3 linked regions of the Anolis sagrei genome follow. The main gene of each other region encodes a partner of the protein of the gene in region 3 in a complex. Links are inferred from orthologs where the notes say so. Each region holds a gene or a part of one and is shown on either strand. Other genes may lie near its edges. The genes, in order: LRRTM2, CASK and NRXN1.

What was found.
Region 1: the proteins of NRXN1 (region 3) and LRRTM2 are in contact, whole or in part, in a crystal structure (PDB 5Z8Y), measured with the Homo sapiens proteins. The link is inferred for Anolis sagrei from reciprocal best matches to the Homo sapiens genes NRXN1 and LRRTM2. Residues at the interface, in NP_001317021.1 of Homo sapiens: Leu139, Val158, Thr160, Arg236, Gln237, Leu238, Thr239, Ile240, Asn242; in NP_056379.1 of Homo sapiens: Asp343, His344, Gln346, Gly347, Glu348, Leu351, Asp352, Ala353, Gly356, Phe357.
Region 2: the proteins of NRXN1 (region 3) and CASK are in contact, whole or in part, in a crystal structure (PDB 6NID), measured with the Homo sapiens proteins. The link is inferred for Anolis sagrei from reciprocal best matches to the Homo sapiens genes NRXN1 and CASK. Residues at the interface, in NP_001317021.1 of Homo sapiens: Lys468, Glu469, Tyr470, Tyr471, Val472; in NP_001354650.1 of Homo sapiens: Pro500, Met501, Gly502, Ile503, Thr504, Leu505, Lys506, Ala516, Arg517, Val549, Gln553, Leu556.

Annotation. Positions count from the first base shown.
Region 1 is NC_090021.1:140,758,548-140,766,421, reverse strand, and holds the start of LRRTM2 (leucine-rich repeat transmembrane neuronal protein 2), read right to left. Parts: upstream 3,001-7,874; 5' UTR 2,496-3,000; coding exon 2,492-2,495; intron 2,205-2,491; coding exon 658-2,204; 3' UTR 1-657. UniProt on the Homo sapiens protein: Involved in the development and maintenance of excitatory synapses in the vertebrate nervous system. Regulates surface expression of AMPA receptors and instructs the development of functional glutamate release sites.
Region 2 is NC_090023.1:77,990,834-77,998,652, reverse strand, and holds the start of CASK (peripheral plasma membrane protein CASK), read right to left. Parts: upstream 3,069-7,819; 5' UTR 2,448-3,068; coding exon 2,389-2,447; intron 2,013-2,388; exon of another isoform or gene 1,966-2,012; intron 1-1,965. UniProt on the Homo sapiens protein: Multidomain scaffolding Mg(2+)-independent protein kinase that catalyzes the phosphotransfer from ATP to proteins such as NRXN1, and plays a role in synaptic transmembrane protein anchoring and ion channel trafficking.
Region 3 is NC_090021.1:18,711,065-18,718,568, reverse strand, and holds the start of NRXN1 (neurexin-1), read right to left. Parts: upstream 3,021-7,504; 5' UTR 2,720-3,020; intron 1-2,719.

The sequences.
Region 1 (7,874 bases), about 120 Mb from region 3:
AACAGCTATATTCTAGATCTAGAACAAATTTCAATAAGCTGAATTCTCACTGTGGAATTTTAGAAAACAATATGGGTTTTTTCCCCCCATGCTTCGGTACATAGCAAAATCCCTCTGCTGAACTTTACTATTGTATATCGTAAATTTGAGAATCAGCTTTTGAAAGGGGGAAAATGTAATTTAACCTTTTCTGTTAAATCTCCACTTAAGAGAAAATTGAGTCAACTGAAATATTGGGGATCATAACTACAGTGCATCACTTGGCAAATGTCCTTCCTTCACGGAGACCTGTAAATATACCTAACAGCGCCATTTCATCCAGACTATTCATCTACCTCAAATCTGGAGGCTTCAGAGTAAAAATCTTACACATAGAATTACATAACATGAAGCAGTTTACATATTTTGGGTTGAGCATATTTAGACTTCCAAACATCAGGAGTGCAAATTTAATGCAAACATTGCTGATTTCACATTGAAAATATTATGGGTTATTTAAGAAGAAAAACACTTTTAAATACTGCATCACTCAAAACAAGTAGCCTAGAAAAATCTAGGCTTTTTCAACATTTCTTTTTTTAAAAAAATTAATAGTTTTGGATCCCTGCAATTTAAAATAAGTTTTATCTGCTTTTGTTTTTTGATTACCTGTAGATATTACACTTCACATTCTTTATAGGGTAGTTGCTGACACTTGCACTGTCCATAACCATTAATGATGATGAAAGGTCCTTCATGGGTGGGTTCATATTCATTATATGGTCCTTGGTCTGACATATTTGACATATGTAGCCGTGTTTGAGATCGCAGTTGCCTGTGGCTTTGAATCATTGAGCACTGCCTAATTTTTCTTAATGTGGGAGGGCAGCACTTCCTGGAGATGAACACTACAAAAATGATAAAAAAGAAAGAAAATAATAAAGCCATTGTTCCTGTAATTACCTGCTGAGTGAAGATGACATTGTTTGGTTCAGGCAACTGATCTTCTGTCGTAATAGGTATGCCTGTAGTAGTTGAAATTTCTTTGTCTCCCACATGGAAATTTGAGGAGCTTATCCTTTTTGTATATTCAGTCGTTGGAGCTCTGTAGCTTGTAGCAATGGATGTAAGAACAGTTGATAAATTCCAGCAAAGCTGAAAACCATACACTGCATCTAGAATATCCTCTCCCTGGGTGTGGTTTGGGCTATGACAAAGTATGGAGTGCTCCCACCGACCTTGGAAGCCACTCAGCCATGTGGCTAATGAACATATTTTGGGGCTGCATTCCCAAGGGTTGCTGGAGAGGCCCACCGTAGTGAGGGTTTTAAGTGAATATAAAACCTTGGATTCCAGAGTGATTAGTTTGTTGTTATCCATTAGGAGTACTTTAAGATTAGGCATTATTTCAAAAACTGTCATATCAATGGCTTTGAGATCATTTCCAGACAAATCTATCTTTTCTAGAGTGACCCAGGTCCATTCCATCCCGCAAGTCAAGTTGCTAATTTTATTCCCCTGCAAGAAGAGCATGTGCAGATTGCTTAGCCGTAGGAAATGAGCAAAGTTAATCTTTGTCAGCTGGTTGTGCTCTAGGTGAAGCTCCCTCAGTTTGATTAATCCAGCAAATCCATTGCGTGCCAAACTTCGCAAACGATTTGTGCTCAGATCCAAAAAATCCAAACTACGACAGTCTGAAAATAGACGGACTGGTATAGTCCTCAGGGAATTGGAACGTAAACTCAAGGTTTGCAGTTTGCGAAGGCCATAGAACAATTCAGGATGCAAAGCAGATAATTGGTTGGAAGAGAGGTCCAAATGTTGCAGGTTAAGCAGTTGGCTAAAAGTTGTGTTTGGCAAATAAGAGATTTTGTTTGAACTTAAAATTAATTCCTTTAGTTTATACAGTCCTTGAAAACCATCTTCTCTTATTGTATCAATTTGATTATGGTCTAAATGAAGCCAAGTAAGTTGACTGAAGCTTGCAAACTGATCCCCTTCAAGTTCCGTAATAAAATTGTGCCTCAATGACAAACCTAGACAGCCCTTGTCAGTGGTGTTTGGCACTGAGTGAAACCCCTGAGAGTCACAGTAAAAGAGCAGCTTCTCACAACGGCATTTTGGTGGACAAGCCGTGCCCAAGGCAGGCAGCATTTTAAAAACAATACTCATTGCATATACTGCTGCCAGCACAGGAGTCCCTAATGGCCACTTGAAATGTAAGCCTGCAGAATATAGTTCAAGGAAACAACAAAATAGGATATTCTTATCAGATAAATGCTCACAATAAAAAACGGAAAAAAGATTGCAGCAGGTAATGACATGCATTAATGTGCTGAGGTCTTTACGCTTTAAATAAATCTGCTATGAAATTTGTCTAAATTATTGCAATTATTGACAAATACTACCTAGTTGCATTTTTAAAAAAAAAAACATTAAAATGCTATTTCTACCTCTTTCTAAAGTAAAATTGACTGCACATAATACAGCAAATCAAAATGTATAAACTTACCCATTCTTTTGAGTACGTTGGAGGTTTCATTCAGTCGTAGTTTTAGACTCAACACAGTGAGTCTGTAAAAAGCTCTAACGTTGACAGCCTTTGAATAATTTACATCTACTGTCTTCCGCTATTAAGAGTAAAAATGACTTCACATCCCATTGTCATATATTCCTTTTGAATTCATTTCCTTGATTTTCAGTGACAGCTCTGCAAATTCCCGAATCAGTGCTGAACTGGAGTTCTCTGTTTTTGTTCTGTACAGCTGTTTAACTGCAAGCGTTTTCCACAGCTATGGCTTTTTTGTCGTAACTTGTTGATGGCAGATGGGTGGCTTATTGCTGAGAGAAGCTTCTATAGTCGCTTGAATGCATTTGCTGAAAAGCTTTCAGGGATACGATACAGGAACGCATTTGCTTATGTGCTGCGACCACACAACTGTATATAGGCTGACGTCATCTTGTGACGTTCCTTTTTGTTTGGGTTTTCCAGAAGCTTTGCAGTTTAAGGCACTGTGGTGCATACTGCGAATTGTGAGATTAGACTACCACTAAGAGGAAAAACCTAACTAAGAATTCTTCATTTGGTATCCAAGGGATAGAAGTGACTTTGCAAGAGTCTGTCTTGCAGATTGCATTCTTACAACTTAGAATTGTATAACTGAATTTCTGAAAACCAGCCACATTACAGATTTTTCTGTCATAGTTGTCCTGTCGATGTTCTGCTTGATATTTGGGGGGGGGGGGGGTTCGTTTGCTAATTAACAAAGCCTGTCAGGCAGAGCCATGTGGGATTTTAACTTCAAAGGGGATCTTTCTTGCTATAAAAGTTTATTTCTAGTTTAAAAAGAGGGAGATTGCTGGCAATAGATAGATGGTTTTGCTAAGCATCTTGTGAAAAAAAATTAAATCAAATCCAAACATTTTAACCAGTAGTTTTTCACTTTATAACTCTTTTTTAAAACTGCTGCCAGGGCTCTATTGTTTCCACATCTGATAGTTCAAATCAGATTAGAAAATAGATAAAGGTAATTCAGTGAAAGACAGGATGAAAAAATGTATAGGGAAAGTAAATGAATGGGGATGGTACACATTTTCTCTTCCTGATCAATTTAAGGGTTTTGGTTTTTTTTAAGTAATCTAATCTGTACTGCACCACCAAAGCAAATGTTAGTTGTGTGACTTTGTTCGGTTCAATTGTCAGATTGTATACTCCCTTTTTTTGATGCAAATGATTCCTTGCAGTTCTACACACAGCTTAAAATTTCCATCTAGAAATATTTTACTTTCTATTTTTTAAAACTGGCGTAAAAATGACTCAAAAGGCTTTGTTATACATATTCTTCCATTGTGAAAATATTAATAAAAGAGACAAAAGGAGTAAATCAGAAGAATTCATATTTAAGCTATAAAGCAAATAATGTTCGCTGTTGGAGTACTTGCAGTTCAAATACTGGTAGATTCATTCAAAGTCAGATTTCTTAGTGATGCATGGAGTAGTAGAAATCATTTCCTTCCTTGCCATTCCTGGCACTTGTTTTGGCCCTTTGCCAATTCAGTTTGATATCCTAAAGTGTTTAAAATAAAAATGGGCTGTAGCAGGATTCAGAAACAATTTTTGGTTAAAGTATATATGTTCGGAAAATATAAGTTAATATTATTTAAATATTTTGAGGTCTGTGGTGTAATTAACACCAGTGAAATCAGTTGAATATTAATGAACATAGGTCATCTCCTTCAATTACATTTTCAATTAAAACTACAATCCAAGTACAACTATGAGATGATGGTACCTCTTCTAAAAGGTTTCTAAGACCAGTTGTCATGATTACAATGTTCTAGAGCAATTGTTTATTTCCTTTCACATAATACAGTGCGTCTTTGGTATCCATAGGAATGTGGTTCTAGGTTACCAAAATCCATGAATGTTCAAGTCTTGTTAAATCGTTAGGGTGGTGTAGAGAGGGAGCCTCCCTCCCTCTCTTCATCAAGCCAAACATACCAGGAATAAAAACCACACAAAATCAGTTAACCCAAAGTTCCTCAAAGCGAACAAGAGCAAAGCAAACAGCAATCTCCCAAAGCTGACGAGAGCACAAGGCACAGAGACTACTCTCTTGAAGCCCTAATGCCCTGTACTCTCACACTTGCGCCCCCAGTGGTGCAATGATTGTGCCGATAGGACAGCTGACTCAAAGGTCAGTGGTTCGAATCCCGTCTGTCAGCTCCAGCTTCCCATGTGGGGACATGAGAGAAGCCTCCCATAGTATGGTAAAACATCTGAGTGTCCCCTCGGCAACATCCTTGCAGACTGCCAATTCTCTCACACCAGAAGCGACTTGCAGTTTCTCAAGTCACTCTTGACACAAAAAAGTGCTCCCTCTGGCACTAGCTCTTAACTCAAAATGCTACCTTTATGTCAAAGCAAAGCCCAGGCCGAATGATAACCCTTAACTCAAAACACTCTTAAGTTGGGACATGCGTATGTAGAGGTTGTACTGTACTGTGCATTTCTTCCCTGACATATTCAAGGTTTCAGATGAGGGACCTTATTCGACTCCCAAGTTTAAATACTTGCCTGATAAAGAATTATATGCAGATGAATGAGTTGATGGAGGCTTTGTCCCTCTAAAACTAGGATACATACAAGCAGACGGTGCTCCTCATAGAGTTGTTGTGGCCTGCTACTGGAGTCATTATTCTGCTGCCAGTGGCCATTAGACTAGTAGACAAAAGACACCAGACATTAAAAAAAACTTTTTATATACAAGACTGGGATAAACATGGTTGTGTGTGTTTTTGTGTGTCTGGTATATCATATGAGCAGATCCTGTGTATCCATTTAAGATAACAAATGAATAAAGAAAATGGCTACTCTACTTCTGCATTGTACATCTGCTACTGCACTCATCAAACTATATATTCACTTAGGTTTAGAGGAGTAGTATGCTCATGTTGACATGCATGTAAAGAGTTTATGTGTTTAGGATAGATAATAGGCCTTTATTCAATTCTAATATTGCTTATAGGCTAGATTCTTTCCCAAAACAAGTATTGGCTAAATGAGTGTACTTCTATTATTCTGTACTGATGGGTAACAGGTAAGGAAGTAGATACGCTTCCTTCCTGTAGAGCAGTGGTTCTCAACCTGTGGGTCCCCAGGTGTTCTGGCCTACAACTCCCAGAAATCCCAGCAAGTTTACCAGCTGTTAGGATTTCTGGGAGCTGAAGGCCGAAACATATGGGAACCCACAGGTTGAGACCTACTGCTGTAGAGGAATGTAGGAACTTGTTCTTTGTTCTTGCTCAAAGCTGTTTCTATTTTTTGAGGAATTGAGTTGTTACCTCCTCTAAAATGTCTTAATCTAGTGAAATAGTTCCTTTGTGGAGGAGCATTTTAATACAGCCATAAATGTGTGTTTCTAGTTGAGTGGTTGTATACAAAGCCTTGAAGCAAATGATATGGTTATGGTTATACATATCTTACATCCCCGTTGGATTACTGTACCATATTCTGTGTGGGACTGCCTCTAGAAACTGTTCAAAAATATTAACAGGTCAAAAGTTTTGTAGCTTAGCTGTTGACTACGGCTGGTTACAGGAAATATATTATGCCCCATCCCCATTGTAATGGCTTCATTGGTTATCTGTTTGTTTCGGGACAAAATTCAAAGTGTTCATTATGGCCTTTAAAGCCCTGTATGGCTTAGGTCTATATTGTCTGGGGGGAAAATCTCACTATATACAAAACAACATACTTTACAATTAAGCAACTATTTAAAAAACCCTGCAAATTACCTACTCTCTGCCTGATGGTTGTTATCCCTTAATAGTCTGCTCCCTTTAAACAATAATGTTAATTATACTTTTACTTAAAATGACACTCTACTCATTCATGAATCCCTAAGTCGATAAATGCCTCAATTAGCATTGTTGTAAAAAGCTAGCCAGCAGGTCACAGTCTTTCTTGAACTTAGTCAAAGATTTATCCTTCAATTGTGCCTCAATAATACAATGGTATGGTTGCTGATGACACGATAAATAAATAAATAAATAAATAGTCAATTTGTTCATTTCTGTTTCACAGATTTTCATCTGGGTATTCTTGCATTGGTAAAGCTTTTTTCCTCCCACTTCTGAGAATATACCATTCTTACAGCAGTTGTCATATATTGTAACATTCTCCTCTAATTTTTCTTTTTGAACGAGTATCCTGTATTCCCAACGTTTTACATTTAACCTTGACAAGGTATTTCAACATTTCTGGGCCTTTCTCACTACATGAGATTAAATGCCCCAAAATTGTCCTTGTATTTCCAATATTTGGTAGAACTGCCCTTATTTGACAACAAAGAAGTCTTAGAAATCACTACTCAAAGCAGTGTTATCTCTTTCATCCATACCTTCCATTGTTTCATTTGAATTTGTGTGGCAATATTTTGAACTGGGGATTTTGAGCCCATATGATAGTACAGTATTTTACTTGATCCCTCTTTATTTCATATTTTAGCAACCCTTTATACATTTAGCCCTAGATCCTGCATAAAGAAAAGGGTCAAATAAATATGGAAATAGGAGCCCATTTTATATCTCTGTAGGCTCAATCATTTCTGTGTTTCAGTTGGGATAGGGATATACATATTTTATTTCACGATCTATACAAATCCATAAAGCATATTGGTGCAACACACCATTTAATCAGCAGTATCTATGATTCTACTGTAACATCTTCAATTTTTTGCCAATATTGTAATCTCACAAATTGTTTTATAGTGGACAAGTCAGAAATGTTGTAAATCAAGCAGGGCCATGAGTCTGTTTGCTAATGCCTATGTGCACATACATCCTATTTCTGGATGAGAGTAGAGCCCTAGTACTCTTCATCCCTTGAACGCTCTCAAATACAGTGGAGGGGTAAAATAGCCATTAAGGCAAGGCTTTGAGGTATAGGTAGAGTGTTCAAATTCCCAAAGGCAGACGTTTTATCAAGAGTGTTTTACCGAATGGTATAGTAAAACAGTTTGCTACATGTTCATGTTACAGTCAGATACAATAAACAATGAAAGCAGGCACACTTGCACACTTACTATTAAAGCATATTCCCCCTAGTCCTTATTTCTGTGCATTCGTATATTCTGCTTGTTTTGTTACTTATTCAACAGATGTCTTTTCAGTACAACATTGCCACCTTGGCATGCTACCAGTACCTAGGATGCTTCCTGAGTGCTGCCATTCCATCTATTTCCCATGCATTTCACACCCACATGTGGCTGGCACAGGGCTTTTATGTAGTGACGCTACATCACCTCCTCTCATGCCAAGATAACAACATAAGCAGTCTTATTATTCTGTTGCATTGCAGAACCCACCTCTATTGATCTGGAACTGAGAGCTTC
Region 2 (7,819 bases), on a different chromosome or scaffold from region 3:
AGGAAGAGAGAAGAAAACTGCCAGTTTTGCATTCCTTATATGGAATTCCAAAAATCCAAAATTGTCCACATGGAAGGCTGAAAAAGTGACATCTTTGTGTTCTGGTGGTTTTATGCACACAAACTTAGTTTCATGCACAGCATTATTAAAAATATTGTTTGAAGTTACCTTCAGGCTATGTGAACATGGTATATATGAAATATAAATGAATTCTGTGTGTAGACTTGAATTTCATCTCCAGGATATCTCATGTACATACAATATATACAATTGTAAATATTCCAAAATCTGAAAATATAAAAAATTCAAAACACTTCTAGTTGTACGCATTTCATATAAAGGATATTGACCCTGTATTACCAACAATAGTAGGGACCAACAACATAATTATATTTCCAAACAAACCAATAGGAATTTCTTACTGATGTAGATATGATTCTGACTAAATGTTGCCATGTATACAAACATTGCTCTAATAGCCAGAATTTTAAAAATGATTGAAACTGGGAAGAACCTGGAACACAAAAAACATAAAGCATTTTTAAAAGCAGGAGTTTGGCAAAGGATGTTAACAAGATCACATGTATCCAACTTCAGCTACATGAAATTACATCTTTGGAAGAAATATTACAACAATCTTGCTACAAAATATTTCTCTCATACACCCTCTTGCAGTAACAAGTCATTTTTCATTCTGAATGTAACAATCATAGCAGAAACAACCAAAAATGTTTTCCTTAACATTTATTTGCCCTTACAAAATCATAATGGCAACAAACTCACTTAACTGCCAAAACATCTTCAGATGGATACAAGGTAAAGTTATTCAGCTACTAAAGTGATACAGTAGATGTCTACTACAATTTTTATTCTAGCACAAAGAGTCCCAGATCTCCCACTATGATACAGTTATTGGGGAAGACAAAAAACAAAAACAAAAACCTCTGCTTTCATCTCCTTCAATTACCAAGCTTATTTGGTTTCCCTCTCCAAGACAAACCACTTGGCCTGGCATTTTCAAACCGCCTGTCAAACTGGACACTCCAGGTAGCCTGAGTGGCAGTTCAGCCAACCACCCTTGCAACTTTAGTTTTCTGCAAAAGTGGTTGTTGCCTTTGAAAGGCCTTCCAGCTTTATCCCAACTGGGGGTGCATCTGCATAGTGTAACTGATGCAGTTTGACAACACTTTAACAGCCATGGCTCGATGCTATGGAATTATGGGAGTTGTCACCTTACAAGGTCTTTAGCCTTCTCTAGTCACTCGCCAAACTACAACTCCCACAACTCCATAGCGTTCTGCCATGACAGTTAAAGTGGTGTCAAAGGGAGCTTCCACATAGCTGAATAAAATCCCACATTATCTGCTTTGAACTGGAATAAATGGCAGTGTGGGCTCAGGGCCCTTCCACATAGCCATATAATCCAGAATATCAAGGCAGAAAATCCCAGAATACTTTAACTGGGTTATCTGAGGCCCCTTCCACAAAGCCCTGTATTCCAGAATATCAAGGTAAAAAAATCCCACAATATCTGAGTGTGGACTCAGATAACCCAGTTCAAAGCAGATATTGTGAGATTTTCTGCCTTGATATTCTTGGATATAGGGCTGTGTTGAAGGTCCCTGTGTCCACACTGCCATATATCTCAGAGAGATGTGGGATTTTATTCAGTTGTGTGGAAAGGGCCCAAGATAACCCAGGGTCCTTCCACATGGCCCTATATCCCAGAATACCAAAGCAGAAAATCCCACATTATCTGAGTGTGTACTCAGATAACCCAGTTCAAAACAGATATTCTGGGATATAGGGTTGTGTGGAAGGGCCCCTAGTTCAAAGCAGATATTGTGGGATTTTCTGCCTTGATGTTCTGGGTTACATGGCTGTGTGGAAAGGCCCAAAGTGTGTCACCTCTACAGTGTGTATGTATCCACGGTGGGGATGGGAAAAAAAGCACCCGAGTATTACCTGAGTGTCCTTTATATCGCCGCTAACGAGCCGGTTTGATGATGCAGCAGCGCCCAAGGAAGGCACCTGGCATTGGTAGGAGGGAGGGAGGGAGGGAAGGAGAGCGAGGGGGAGGGGAGCCGAGGAGGAGAAACACACCCCGTCCCTGCCTTGTCTACCTTGTAGGAGAGAGAGAGAGAGAGAGGAGGAGAAGCCCCGCTTTGCTGCAGGAGCCCCGTTTAATCATGGTGGCCGGAGGAGGGGGGAGAGAGGAGAGGGCTCCCTTTCCCCAGGTGGGAAGAGCCCCGAGCGGTTCCCGAGGATCCTTCCTTCCTTGCCCCCCTCCCCCCGCGCGGTCGGGGAGGAGGCTTTGCAGCCCACCGCCGCTCCTCCCTCCGCGGCTGCCTCCTCCATCTCCCCTCCATGGGTGCCTCTGCTACTTACTTGCCGATCACCTCGCAGAGCTCGTAAACGTCCTCGAAGAGCACATCGTCGTCGGCCATGGTCCGGCGGGGGGGAGGCGAGCCGCCCCAGGGCGGGAGGGGCCGCGGGCACGGTCCCCCTCCTCCTCTTCCCCCTCCTCCTCCGCGCTCCCCGCCGCCGCCGCCGCGCTAAAATCCCGGCCAAATCCTCCAATGGCCGCGCTAGGAAAAGCCCCCCTCGGTGGCCGCTCCTTGCGGTGGGCCGCAGCCTTTCCCCGCGTGTCCCTCACAATTCCCGGCGTCGTCGTCTTCTTCCTTCTTCTTCGCCTTCCTTCTTCTCACCTTTGGCCGCCGGGGATTAATCCATGGAGGGGATGGAGACGGAGGATGAAACCGCGGCAGGCAGGCAGGCAGAGCGAGCCCCTCATTCGCTCCCTTCCCCCGCTTCTTGTCCACACACACACACACACACACACTCACTCCCTCCCTCAGTCACTCACACACTCGCTCCCTCCCTCCTCGAAACGAGAGAGAGAGAGAGAGAGCGCGCGCCCAGGCGAAGAGAAAGGCGCGGCTCCGTCCACGCGCCACCCCAACGCCGTTTGATGAAGGGAGAAACACAGAGGGAGACAGGGTGCGTGCGCGCGCGCCTGCGCGTCACCGCCGCGGCCGCCGACACCTTTCTTATCAGTCACGCAACCGCCCAGAGCCAAGCATGCGCGCGCATCCTCCCTTTACGTTAGAACGCGCGCTCTCGCGCTCAGGGCTAAGTTGGGGAGGGGAGCAGAGCTGGCTTTTTTTTTTTCCTTCCTCCTCCTCCCTCCTCCCTGCTCCGAGCAAAGCCACGCCCACAACTCCCCTCACGGGGAAACGGCGAAGAGTTTGTACTGCGCAGGCGCGGGGGTTGTTGACGTCATTTGAACGGGGAAAGGGAAAAGGAGAAGGTTTTCCTTGCGGTCGGAGAGACTAGCGGCAATGCTGGGGCTGAGAAACGGCAGGGCACATAGGCATTGCGTTGAAGCTCCTCTTTAGTGTCCGACAGACTTCACAATCTGAGGATGCCTGCCATAGATGCAGGCGAAACGTCAGGAGAGAATGCTTCTGGAACATGGCCATACAGCTCGAAAAACTTACAGCAACCCAGTGATTCCGGCCATGAAAGCCTTCGACAACTCATTCTCCTCTTTAGCCTTTTTTCTTTTCTGGATATAGCCATATTTGAATCGCCTGAGGGCTGAGAAAAGCGGTATAGAAATAAAGTAAATAAATATTGCACATAGTAGATTGACACTGAGCGGTGTCAAACGGCTATTATTCATTTTGTCAAAGGCTTTCATGGCTGGAATCACTAGGTTCTTGTGGTTTTTATTGGGCTATATGGCCATGTTCTATTTATTATTTATTTATTATTTATTTACTGTGCTTATATAGCGCTGTTCTCAGCCCGGGGGCGACTCACAGCGGTGTACAACATAGAGAGGACAGGGTGCAAATTACAAGACACAATCTAAAATCAATCCAGCAATAACAAAAGCATCGTCATCAACAACATCAACAACATCAATATCAATAATACAAAAAGCCATTCGCATAATCTCATCGTTACACCACAATCCAGTATTATATTCCGTCGTTCCATTCCTGTCGTCATTACCAATTATTGGATTTCTTGTTCGAACGCCTTCTTGAACAGCCACGTCTTTAATTTCCTGCGGAATATCATCGGAAGGGGCCAATCTGATGTCCACGGGAAGGGTGTTCCACAGCCGAGGAGCCACCACCGAGAAGGCCCTATCTCTCGTCCCCACCAGGCGTGCCTGTGAGGCAGGCGAGATTGAGAGCAGGGCCTCCCCGGATGATCTCAAAGTCCTCGTGGGCTTATAGGCCAAGATGCGGTCAGAGGATGCTTGCCATAGATGCAGGCGAAATGTCAGGAGAAATGCCTCTAGAACATGGCCATATAGCCTGAAAAAACCCACAAGAACCTTATTATTCATTTATTTATTTACTTACTGCATTTATATGCCGCCCTTCTCACCCTGAAGGGGACTCAGAGCGGCTTACAAGATATATATATATATATATATATATATATATATACACACACACACACACACACACAAACAATATGTTATATTATTAAAACAGCACTATCAGTGTTACATATTACTATATTGTACTATACCATTATATTGTAATATTATTAGTAATATTACATGTAATATAAAATATATAATTATAATATTGCATTATTAGTAGTATTATATTGTATTACATTATAGTGTTATAAATATTATATGTATATACAATATATTATCTAATCCAGGTGAAAGAAGAAAGTACAAAGGCTTGGTTGCAGTTAAACATAAAAAAACCAAGATTATGGCAACCGGACTGATTGATAACTGGCAAATAGAGGGAGAAAACATGGAGGCTGTGACATACTTTGTATTTCTAAGTGCAAAGATTACTGCAGACGCAGACTGCAGCCAGGAAATCAGGAGACGCTTCTTGGGAGGAGAGCAATGACCAATCTCGATAAAATAGTGTTTTGGACTATAAGCGGCTGAGGGGGCAAAGGAAAGGGCCTGAGGCTGTGAGGAATGGTGGGAGTTGAAGTCCAAAACACCTGGAGGGCCCAAGTTTGCCCTTGCCTGATCTACACTGACAATATAATGCAGTTCCAAACTGCATTATATGACAGTGTGCATCCAGTGTGCATCCAGCCTATACTTGACAGTGTGCATCCAGCCTGTGCTTGACGTGGTTACACTCCCCCTGAAGGCGCAGATTTGCAGCTTGGGAGTGATCCTGGACTCATTGCTGAGCCTGGAACCCCAGGTCTCGGTGGTGGTCAGGGGAGCTTTTGCACAATTAAAACTTGTGCGCCAGCTGGGCCCGTACCTTGGGAAGTCTGACTTGGCCACAGTGGTCCACGCTCTGGTAACATCCCGTATATACTACTGCAATGCTCTCTACGTGGAGTTGCCTCTGAAGACTGCCCGGAAGCTGCAATTAGTCCAAAGAGCGGCAGCCAGATTACTAACAGGAGCGTGGTACAGGGAGTACACTACTCCTCTGTTGCGTCAGCTCCATTGGCTGCCAATTAGTTTCCAAGCGCAATTCAAAGTGCTGGTTTTGATTTATAAATCCCTAAACGGCTACGACCCAGTTTACCTGTCCGAACGGATTCTCCCCTACGAACTATCAAGGTTGTTAAGATCTTCTGGAGGGGCCCTGCTCTCGGTCCCACCACCTTTGCAATCGTGTCTGGTGGGGACGAGAGACAGGGTCTTCTCGGTGGTGGCCCCTTGGCTGTGGAACTCTCTCCTGATGGAGATTAGATCTGCCCCTTCCCTCCTGACTTTCAGAAAGCTAGTGAAATCCTGGCTCTGGGGCAAAGCATTCTCAGAATGATTGGCGTCAACAATAACCTAATAACTACTGACCACACTGGCGGACTATGATGAATGTGATTTTATCTTGTCGATTTGGCTTTATGTATTTATTCTGTTGCTATTTTACTGTATTATGATGTTATGATGTTATTAGTTTACTTGTGTATGCATTTTCTGTTAGCCGGCCTGAGTTCCTCTGCGGAGGTTGAGAAGACTGGGATATAAAAGTTCTGAATAAATAAATAAATAATAAATAATAAACCCTGTTTGGGCAGGCATGTATACCAAAAATACATGGAAGGAATGTAAAAGATAGTGGAAATGCAAAACATGTAGTAGCAATATCTGTCAATGCAAAACATGTTGGAATGGTGACAACTACCGGTTTAACAATGATTGTGATGAGTAGTTGAAAGGACATAGTTGGGAGTCAGGTTTTGCTCAGATAAACACATGTAGACCGGAGGAATGGCTTTTACCTAGTGAGTTGGTATGTGTGCAGGGCCTGTAAAATCTTGTCATAAAACAGGTGTGAGGAGAGTATCTTTGCATATGTATGGCTGTGATGAAAGCTGTAATGTTTTAATATATGTAGTGTGTCAACAAACCATTGTTTATGGCTTGGAATTTATTGATACATCCTAATTCAGCAGTTCTGCCCATTGGAGAGAAGGATAGTAGAGGCAAAGATGAAGTACTTTGGCCACATCATGAGAAGAAAGGAAAGCTTAGAGAAGACAATTATGTTGGAAAAAATGGAAGGAAAAAGCAAGAGGGGCTGACCAAGGGCAAGATGGATGGATGGCATCCTTGAAGTGACTGGATTGACCTTGAAGGAGCTGGGGGTGGTGACAGCCAACAGGGAGCTCTGGCATGGGCTGGTCCATGAGGTCACAAAGAGTTGGAAATGACTGAACGAATAAACAACAACAAATTCAGCGGTTTCTCTTTCCAGGCTTCTTTTAGTTTTTATGCACTGCACAAATTGTCCAAGCAGGTTGAAATGCTCTGCAACTGGTATATTTTTGTAGTTTATTGTTTCCATTTCTAATATCAGATATACTGTATTTACTTGAGTATAATGTGCCGTCGAATTTAATGCACACCTCAATGATTTTCAGTCGAATATAATGCACCCAGCAGTAAAGGCATAGTGAGTCAGGAAGGCAGTCAGCATGAATGAGGCCATTTGGGAAGCTATGTCTCTGTCAGGCCAAGGCTGGTGAACTCTTCAGCCTCACACAGTTCCCAAACGGCCTCATTCTCAAGGCCTTCAAAACCAAGGGGGAGGTTTTGAAGGCCCTGGGAATGAGGCTATTTAGGAAACGTGGGGCTGAGTCTCAGGGGAACAGGCAAGAGCTTCCAAGGGTAATTTGAGAAGCAGGTTGCTTACTTCTCCTTTGGCCACAGTGGCCTGAAAGCTGCACAGCCGCTCTGTGGCTAAGGGACTGGGTCACTATTTGGCTGCACATCCTTCTCCAGGCACCACGGAGCTCTGAGGCCACCCCCAGGAACAGCCTTTTAGAGTCCTTCCACACAGCCCTATATCCCAGAATATCAAGGCAGAAAATCCCACATTATCGGAGTGTGAACTCAGATAACCCAGTTCAAAGCAGATAATGTGGGATTTTCTGCCTTAATATTCTGGGATGTAGGGCTGTGTGGAAGGGCCCTTAGTCTCCCCTTCTAGACTCTGGAGCTCTAGCTTTCTCTGGGCCTTTTCACGCAGGTGGATTTACATGTATGATTCTAACACTCCATTGAATCTAATGTGTACCTCAGTTTTGGTGATGCCATTTAGTAAAAACATGCATAATGACTGTCCTGATTATGCCAGGAAATGAAGAGGGGGTATTCCAGGCATGGGATGGCATATATCACATTGAAGGATGAACAGGATATGAAACAACTGATAATATTAGACAAAAGGCCCTTCCACACAGCTCTATGTCCCAGAATATCGAGGCAGAAAATCCCACAACATCTGCTTTGAACTGGGGGCCCTTCCACACAACCCTATATCCCAGAATACCAAGGCAGAAAAATCCCACAACA
Region 3 (7,504 bases):
CAAGATGGTGCTGGCATTTGTGGGTGTTTCCATATAGATGGGTGTGTGTCTGCAAGCATGATAAAGGACTCTGGAAAGTGTTGTGTTGCTGGGCAGGTGAACTGCAGGGATGGATAGGATTGTGTTGCTCTCTGTGTGTTTCTGCATGGAACAGACAAAGGTGAGAGAAATGGTGTTGAAAGCAGTGCAGGGTATAGTAGAAGTGTATCCTCATTAAGCATGGAACTAATTACAGCAGGTGTCGTAATGAATGTCTGGGGGTCATTGTGTCTCAGATTTGCAGGATATGGATTCAGCATATCGGAAAGAGAGATGTGTGTGTGGATATTCTTGTTTCAGGGAGGTGATTTCCATTATTTTGCAGGTTTGCAAAAAAAGAGGGTTATAAAATTGAACTGTGTGTAAGCAGAAGGTCCATATTGGAAAACAGATACCTTGATGACATTTGTTGTGCATGGAATGGAGGGAAGAGGTCTTGACAGTGTTTTTGGGAAACTTCCTCACTCAGAACCTGTATGGCTTTGATGAGAGGTGTGTTGTTGTTGTTGTTGTTGTTGTTGCTGCTGCTGCTGCTGCTGCTGCTGCTCTGTGCCTGTGCATTGTAGATTTATTGTGAAAGGCTTTGGGGCTGCGGGAGTTGTGTGCTCAGTGCCAAAGCATTCTGGTTGTTTTATTTGTTATTATCACAAAAATAGTCTTTAGTTGGTATCAGGTGAGCTGTGAGCACCTTTTCTTATGTGTGTGTGTGTTATATGGGGATAATGTGTTTAGATTTTGGGTTGTTGTGAGTATTCTGGGCTGTATGGCCATGTTTCATGTTTCCTGACGGTTCATCTGCATCTGTAGCAGGCATCCTCAGAGGTTGTGAGGTCTGGACTGTCTGCCATTGAGGCAGGCAAAATGTCAGGAGAGAATGCTTCTGGAACATGGCCATAGAGCACAGAAAACTCAACAACCCAGTGATTCCAGCCATGAAATATTTTGATAATACATGTTTAGATTTCAAAAGATATAGCTGAAGATTGGCCAGACAAAAATGGGGGATCCACCTTTGCAGAGGGAAAGTGTTCACTTATTCTGCCTTATAGAAAGCCAAGATCTCTCCAAGGTTATATGTGCTTTCTTTGCTTCCATGCACAGAGGCATACAAAACACACAAGTCAAAAGGGAGGAGTGGATGGCAGATGTGCCCCTACAAGTGTCAGCTGGGAGAGCCACTGAGATTAGGGGGATCCCTCTACAAGATCCTCCTTAGACAACATCATGGCCACCCCCTTTCTCTCGCCCCCTCCCCTTTCTCTCTTCCTCCTCTCATGCACACAGACCCACACACGCCACAAGAACCACGGAAATGGGAAAAATACATTTTTAAAACCCTCTTGCTAATTTATTATGGCTGATACAATGATAAACAGCACCCACTGTCTAGCCATTGGCAAAACAAGTGAAGCTGATCCATCAGGGAAGGTGGACTGGTGATTTGCCATGCATGCTTTCAAAGGGATCTGGGATACATACATACATATATATGTGTGTGTGTGTGTGTGTGTGTGTGTGGTTTTCAGAGAAATACTAAACTCTTCCCTGTTTAATACGAGGGGAAACCAGACGCCAATACCTTATTCCAAGACTAGCTTACCTATCATTACTGTTATTGTTATTAAAATCACGTTTTGGTCACAGGTGCCCCTGCTGAGCTATTAAACCAGGGCGGAGTAACGAGGGAGAAGGAAAGGAAGAGAGGAGAAAACAAGGTGGATGTGTGGATGGACCTCGAAGACAACCAACCCTTCATAAAGAGCAGCTCGTTTTGTCGACTGCCCAGTTTTGGCAGCATCCCTCTCTAGTCTCCATAGGATTTTCTCCCGATGCGGGAAAGACCCGGAGAACATACAAATTACAGCTTGAAATAAAAAAAAATACTAATAATGGGAGGGAACAGGGGGAAAGGGGAAAAACCCACCACAGACAACCTTTTTGCTGCAGCCGGAGAGCGAAGTGCTTTGATTCCAAAGCGATTCCTTGACACCAGCAGCCTTCCACTTATTTATTTATGGTTGTTTAGCGCCCCCTCCCCCTTCCTGGCTCTCCTGGATTCCTATTTCCAGCATCAATTGCTCCCCTTTGCTTTTCTGCAGGGGGTTTGGTGCTTTTTAAAAAAAGAGGGGATGAGAAGAAGGAGGAGAGCGTGTGCTTGGCTTGTTTATTGTCCCTCTTCTACCCCAAGAGAGCAGAAAAAGAGCAGCGGTTGCATTTCAGCCTGGTATTCAAACCTTCCCCAAAAATGAGGCATCATCAGGAGGGATTCAGAGCAGTTAAGAGAGGAAGGAGAAGGGGAGGAGGAAGGGGTTCTGCTCAACGCCGTTCCCCATCTATCTGTCTTTAATGAAACACCATATAGTATCCACTTCGCCACCATCCTTTCCCTCTCCCCTAAAATGGAGAGGGGACATTGGGAGAGCGGATTCCTCTTCCCTCCCCAAGCCTGAATGTTGAAGCAGTGGCAGCCAGATTCAGGTCCTCCTCCCTCCGCAACAGACCTCCCAATCGCTCAGAAATCCCAACAGATCTCCTGGCACATCCCTCCTTGGAAAATGCCAGCAAGAAGCCGACCCACCTCCCTTGGCGCATCCTTGAGAGGCGCCCCCCCCCCCTTTTCGGTCCAGCTGAAGGGGTCTCTGCCCTCCCCCTCCCCACCCTCCTCCCTGCTTCCTCTCACCTGTCCCCTCCCCAAGCCGCCTCTTTACCTGCGCGGCCGCTTTGCCTCTCCTCCTGTTCGCCTGGAAGCGCGGCTCTCCGGGAGACCTGCCTCGGCCAAAGCGGGCGGCCCCTTCGCTCCTCGGGAGAAGGAGGAGGCGGGCAGGGGAGGAGGAGGAGGAGGAAGGAGGAGGAGGAGGAGGAGGAAGAGGAGGAAGGCGGAGGAGGAGGAGGAGGAGGGCGGGCGGGGGGGAAAGTGCCATCCGTTGCCTTTTCAGCAGCGTCAGGCTGGGTCTCCTCTCCCTCTCCCTCTCATTCCAAGAGTCAGGGCGGAGACGAGGGAGGGAAAGGAGGGCTGGCGGATCCCCACGTGACGCGCGTCGGGCGCTGCCTGTCTGCAAGAGGAAGGCGGAGCCGGGCGGGCTACAGCCGCAGCCTGGACGGCCACCTCGCCCTGGGCCACAGCCTCCCTCCCAGCCGGATGAGGAGGAAGGAAAGCAGGGAGAAGGAACCCGCTTGGGAGACAACCTGGGCCGTGGGTTATCCTTTCCTCCCTTTTCTGCCCCACATTGAGCCCACTCTGACCCCTCCCTTCAAAGCTGGTGACGTGATTCTCTTTCTAAACACCCCCCCCCCCCCTCTTTTTCATTCTCTCTCTGGGATCCAAGGATGCTGCTCTGGCGCTGCAGGTGTGGCGAGGAAAAATAAGAAATGGTTTCCTTCCTTCCTTCTCTCTCTCTCTCTCTCTCTCTCTCTCTTCTCTTTTCCCTTCCCTGCAAAAAGCAGAAAATGTCCTTCACCTCTTCTTGCTTTGTTTGTGCAAATAGGTCCAACTTCCCCATCTTTCCCCCCTTTCTTCCCCCCCCCTCTTTTTTTAGAACGACACAAGAGATTCCAAGAATATGCTAAGGGTGCTGAACACAGACACAAACTCTCCTTGCCTTTCCCAGCATCTTAGGGCCTCGCCGTACACACGTGCGTGGGAACACGTGTCAGGAAAGGGTGTCTAATGTATACGGCAGCCCCTTTGATCCGGAAGGGAAAGGTGTTCTCCTCCTCCTCCTCCTCAACGTGGCCCCTCCCCGAACCCAGCATTACTTGGTGGCTCCCTATGGAGCAGGCAATCTGCCGCGGAACTGTCCAAGGTGCTGAAGCCTTGGAGGGAGGGGAAAGGGATCAGCACCTTGGAGAGGTCTCTTTCCCTCCTCTTCGTCTAACTCAACCTGCTGCCAGAAACCTCCCCAGTTTCTTCTAGGTGCTTTGGGGTGCAGAATAAATACGTTGTGATACTACTTTGACTGCCAAGGCTTAATGGTATTGCATTTTGGGAGCTTATTTATTTATTTATCGTGTCAAGAGTGAACCAAATAGTTGTATTACATTAAAAACAAACAAACGAAACACAGAGTTTGCAAACTTGGTATTCTATTAAATGTCCTTCGACCAGTAGTTGGCCACTTGGAGTGCCTCTGGTGTTGCTGCAAGAAGGTCCTCCATTGTGCATGTGGCAGGGCTCAGGTTGCATTGCAGCAGGTGGTCAGTGGTTTGCTCTTCTCCACATTCGCATGTCGTGGATTCCACTTTGTAGCCCTATTTCTGAAGGTTCACTCTGCATCTCGTGGTGCCAGAGTGCACTCTGTTCAGTGCCTTCCAAGTTGCCCAGTTTTCTGTGTGCCCAGGGGGGAGTCTCTCATTTGGTATCAGCCATTGATTGTGGTGCTGGGTTTTCATAGGATCATAGAATCAAAGGGTTGGAAGAGACCTCATGGGCCATCCAGTCCAACCCCCTGCCAAGAAGCAGGAATATTGCATTCAAATCACCCCTGACAGATGCCCATCCAGCCTCTGTTTAAAAGCTTCCAAAGAAGGAGCTTCCACCACACTCCGATGCAGAGAGTTCCACTGCTGAACGGCTCTCACAGTCAGGAAGTTCTTCCTCGTGTTCATATGGAATCTCCTCTCTTGTAGTTTGAAGCCATTGTTCTGCGTCCTAGTCTCCAAGGAAGCAGAAAACAAGCTTGCTCCCTCCTCCCTGTGGCTTCCTCTCACATATTTATACATGGCTATCATATCTCCTCTCAGCCTTCTCTTCTTCAGGCTAAACATGCCCAGCTCCTTAAGCCGCTCCTCATAGGGCTTGTTCTCCAGACCCTTGATCATTTTAGTCGCCCTCCTCTGGACACATTCCAGCTTGTCAATATCTCTCTTGAATTGTGGTGCCCAGAATTGGAATAGGTCCTGCCACTTTTGGACTCTCGCTTGCTGAGGTGTTCCAGCGAGTGTCTCTGTAGATCTTAGAAAACTATTTCTTGATTTAAGTTGTTGGCATGCTGGCTGATATCCAAATAGGGGATAGGCCAGAGATGTCACTGCCTTGGTCCTTTCACTATTGGTTGCTACTTCCCGGTGGATGTCAAGTAGTGCAATACCGGCTAAACAGTGTAATTTCTCCAGTGGTGTAGGGTGCAGACAACCCTGTGATAATGCAGCATGTCTCATTAAGAGCCACATGCACTGTTTAGGCACGGTGAGCTGTAGTTTGGTGAGGCAGCAGCACTCTTAGTCAGAGAAGGCTAAAAACCTTGTTCAACTACAACTTTGCACTTGTGCTTTGCTACTCTGCTGCTGAGTAAGCAAGCCCAGTTTAGAACACATCTCACCATGCTAAAACAGTGGATGTGGTTCTTAATGTGACATGCCACATTATCACTGGCTGTGTGTGCCCTACACCACTGGAAAAAAAATACACTGTCTAGCTGGTATTGCACTACCTGACATCCACTGGAAGTAGCAGCCAATAATGAAAGGACCAAGGCAGTGACATGTCTGGCCCATCCCCTGTTTGGATGTCAGCCAGCATGCCAATGCCTTAAATCAAGAAATAGTTTTCTAAGATCTACAGAGATACTTGCAGGAACACTTCAGCAAGTAAAAGTCCAAAAGTGGCAGCCTAAAACCCAGCACCTGAATCCATGGCTGATACGAAATGAGAGACTCCCTCCTGGGCACACAGAAGACTGGGCAACTTGGAAGGCACTGAACAGACTGCGCGCTGGCACCAAGAGATTTTATTTATTTATTTATTTATTTATTTATTTGCAGTATTTCTATCCCACCTTTCTCAGCCCTGAATGGGACTCAAGGTGGCTTTACATATAGGCAAGTATCCATTGCCTTGACACAATATATAATTAAAATAAACATTTAAATTAAAAATTAAAATTAATATACATTCAAATATTTTAAAACATTATAATAACTATCAAAACCACATGATCCATAATCATAGTCTGGGGCCATTCCAGTAATCATTGCACATAATCCGTATCCATCAGTTCATCTACTGTACTGAAGGCAGTCTCTGAAAGCTTGATCCAAAAGCCACGTCTTCACTTTCCTTCTGAAGGCCAGGAGGGAGGGGACTAATCTAATATCACTGGGGAGGGAGTTCCACCACTGAGGGGCCACCATTGAGAAGGCCCTGTCTCTCATCCCGACCAGTCATGCCTGTGAGGAAGATGGGACCAAAAGCAGGGCATCCCCAGATAATCTTAATCTCTGAGGTGGTTCATAGGGGGAGATATGTTCAGACAGGTAAGCTGGGCTGGAAGTGTTTAGGGCTTTTTAGACAAATGACAGCAATTTGAATTGTACTCGGTAGCAGACTGGCAGCCAGTGGAGCTGTACGCCACTCTGTTGAGCAACTTGGCTGCTGCCTGTTGAACCAATTGAATCTTCCATATAGTCTTCAAAGTCAACCCCACGTAAAGTGCATTGCAGTAGTTTATACAGGATGAAACAAGAGTGTGGACAACCATGGTCAAGTATGACTTCCCAAGGTATGGGCACAAGTTTTAATTGTGCAAATGCTCCCCTGGCCACTGCCAAAACCTAGGATTCCAGGGTCAGGTATGAGTCCAGGATCACTCCCAAGCTGGAGAACTGTGCCTTCATGGGGAGTGTAACCCCATCCAGCACAAGCTGTAATCCTATACCCTGTTTGCCCTTATGACTGACCAGGAGTACCTCTCTCTTGTCTGGATTCAATTTCAATTTGTTTGCCCACATCCAGACTGTCACAGCCACCAAGCACCGGTTCAGGACTTGAGCAGCAGGTGGAAAGGAGTGATAGATTTGAACATCATCTGCATACAGCTGATACCAAACTTCACAACTCTGGATTATCTCTTCCAGTGGCTTCACATAGATGTTAAAAACATGGGGGGCAGTATTGAACCCTGAGGGACCCCACAGGACAATGATTGCAGGGCTGAGCAGGTGTTCCCCAACAACACTTTCTGGGAGCAACATCCCAGGAAGGACCAGAGCCACTGGAAAACAGTACCTCTGAAACCCATTCCTGCAAAGTGTCCCAGAAGGATACCATGGTCTATGGTACTGAAGGCCATTGAGAGGCCCAGGAGAACAAACAGGGGCAGACTCCCCCTGTCAAGTTCCCTACGCGAATCATCTACTAAGGTGACCAAGGCTGTTTCAGTTCCATGTCCCAGTCTAAAGCCAGACTGCACTGGGTCCAAATAATCCTACTTCAGATCCAGACAATTAAATAATTTTAATTGTCTATTCCTTAAATTGAAGTATTATGTGGCAGATTGGGCTTCACTTAGCAAAACCAATTGGTTCTACAAAATACCTCCTGTTGGAGAGTAAAAATATATTTTTAGATTTTCTGAGGGTGGACTGTCCTAGAGACCTTATCACTATACCAACAAGGTGGAGCCAGGAAGGCGGAGGGGGGGGGGGGATGGAGACAAGGAAGAAATAGCAATTTCAGCTCCTAATTCCA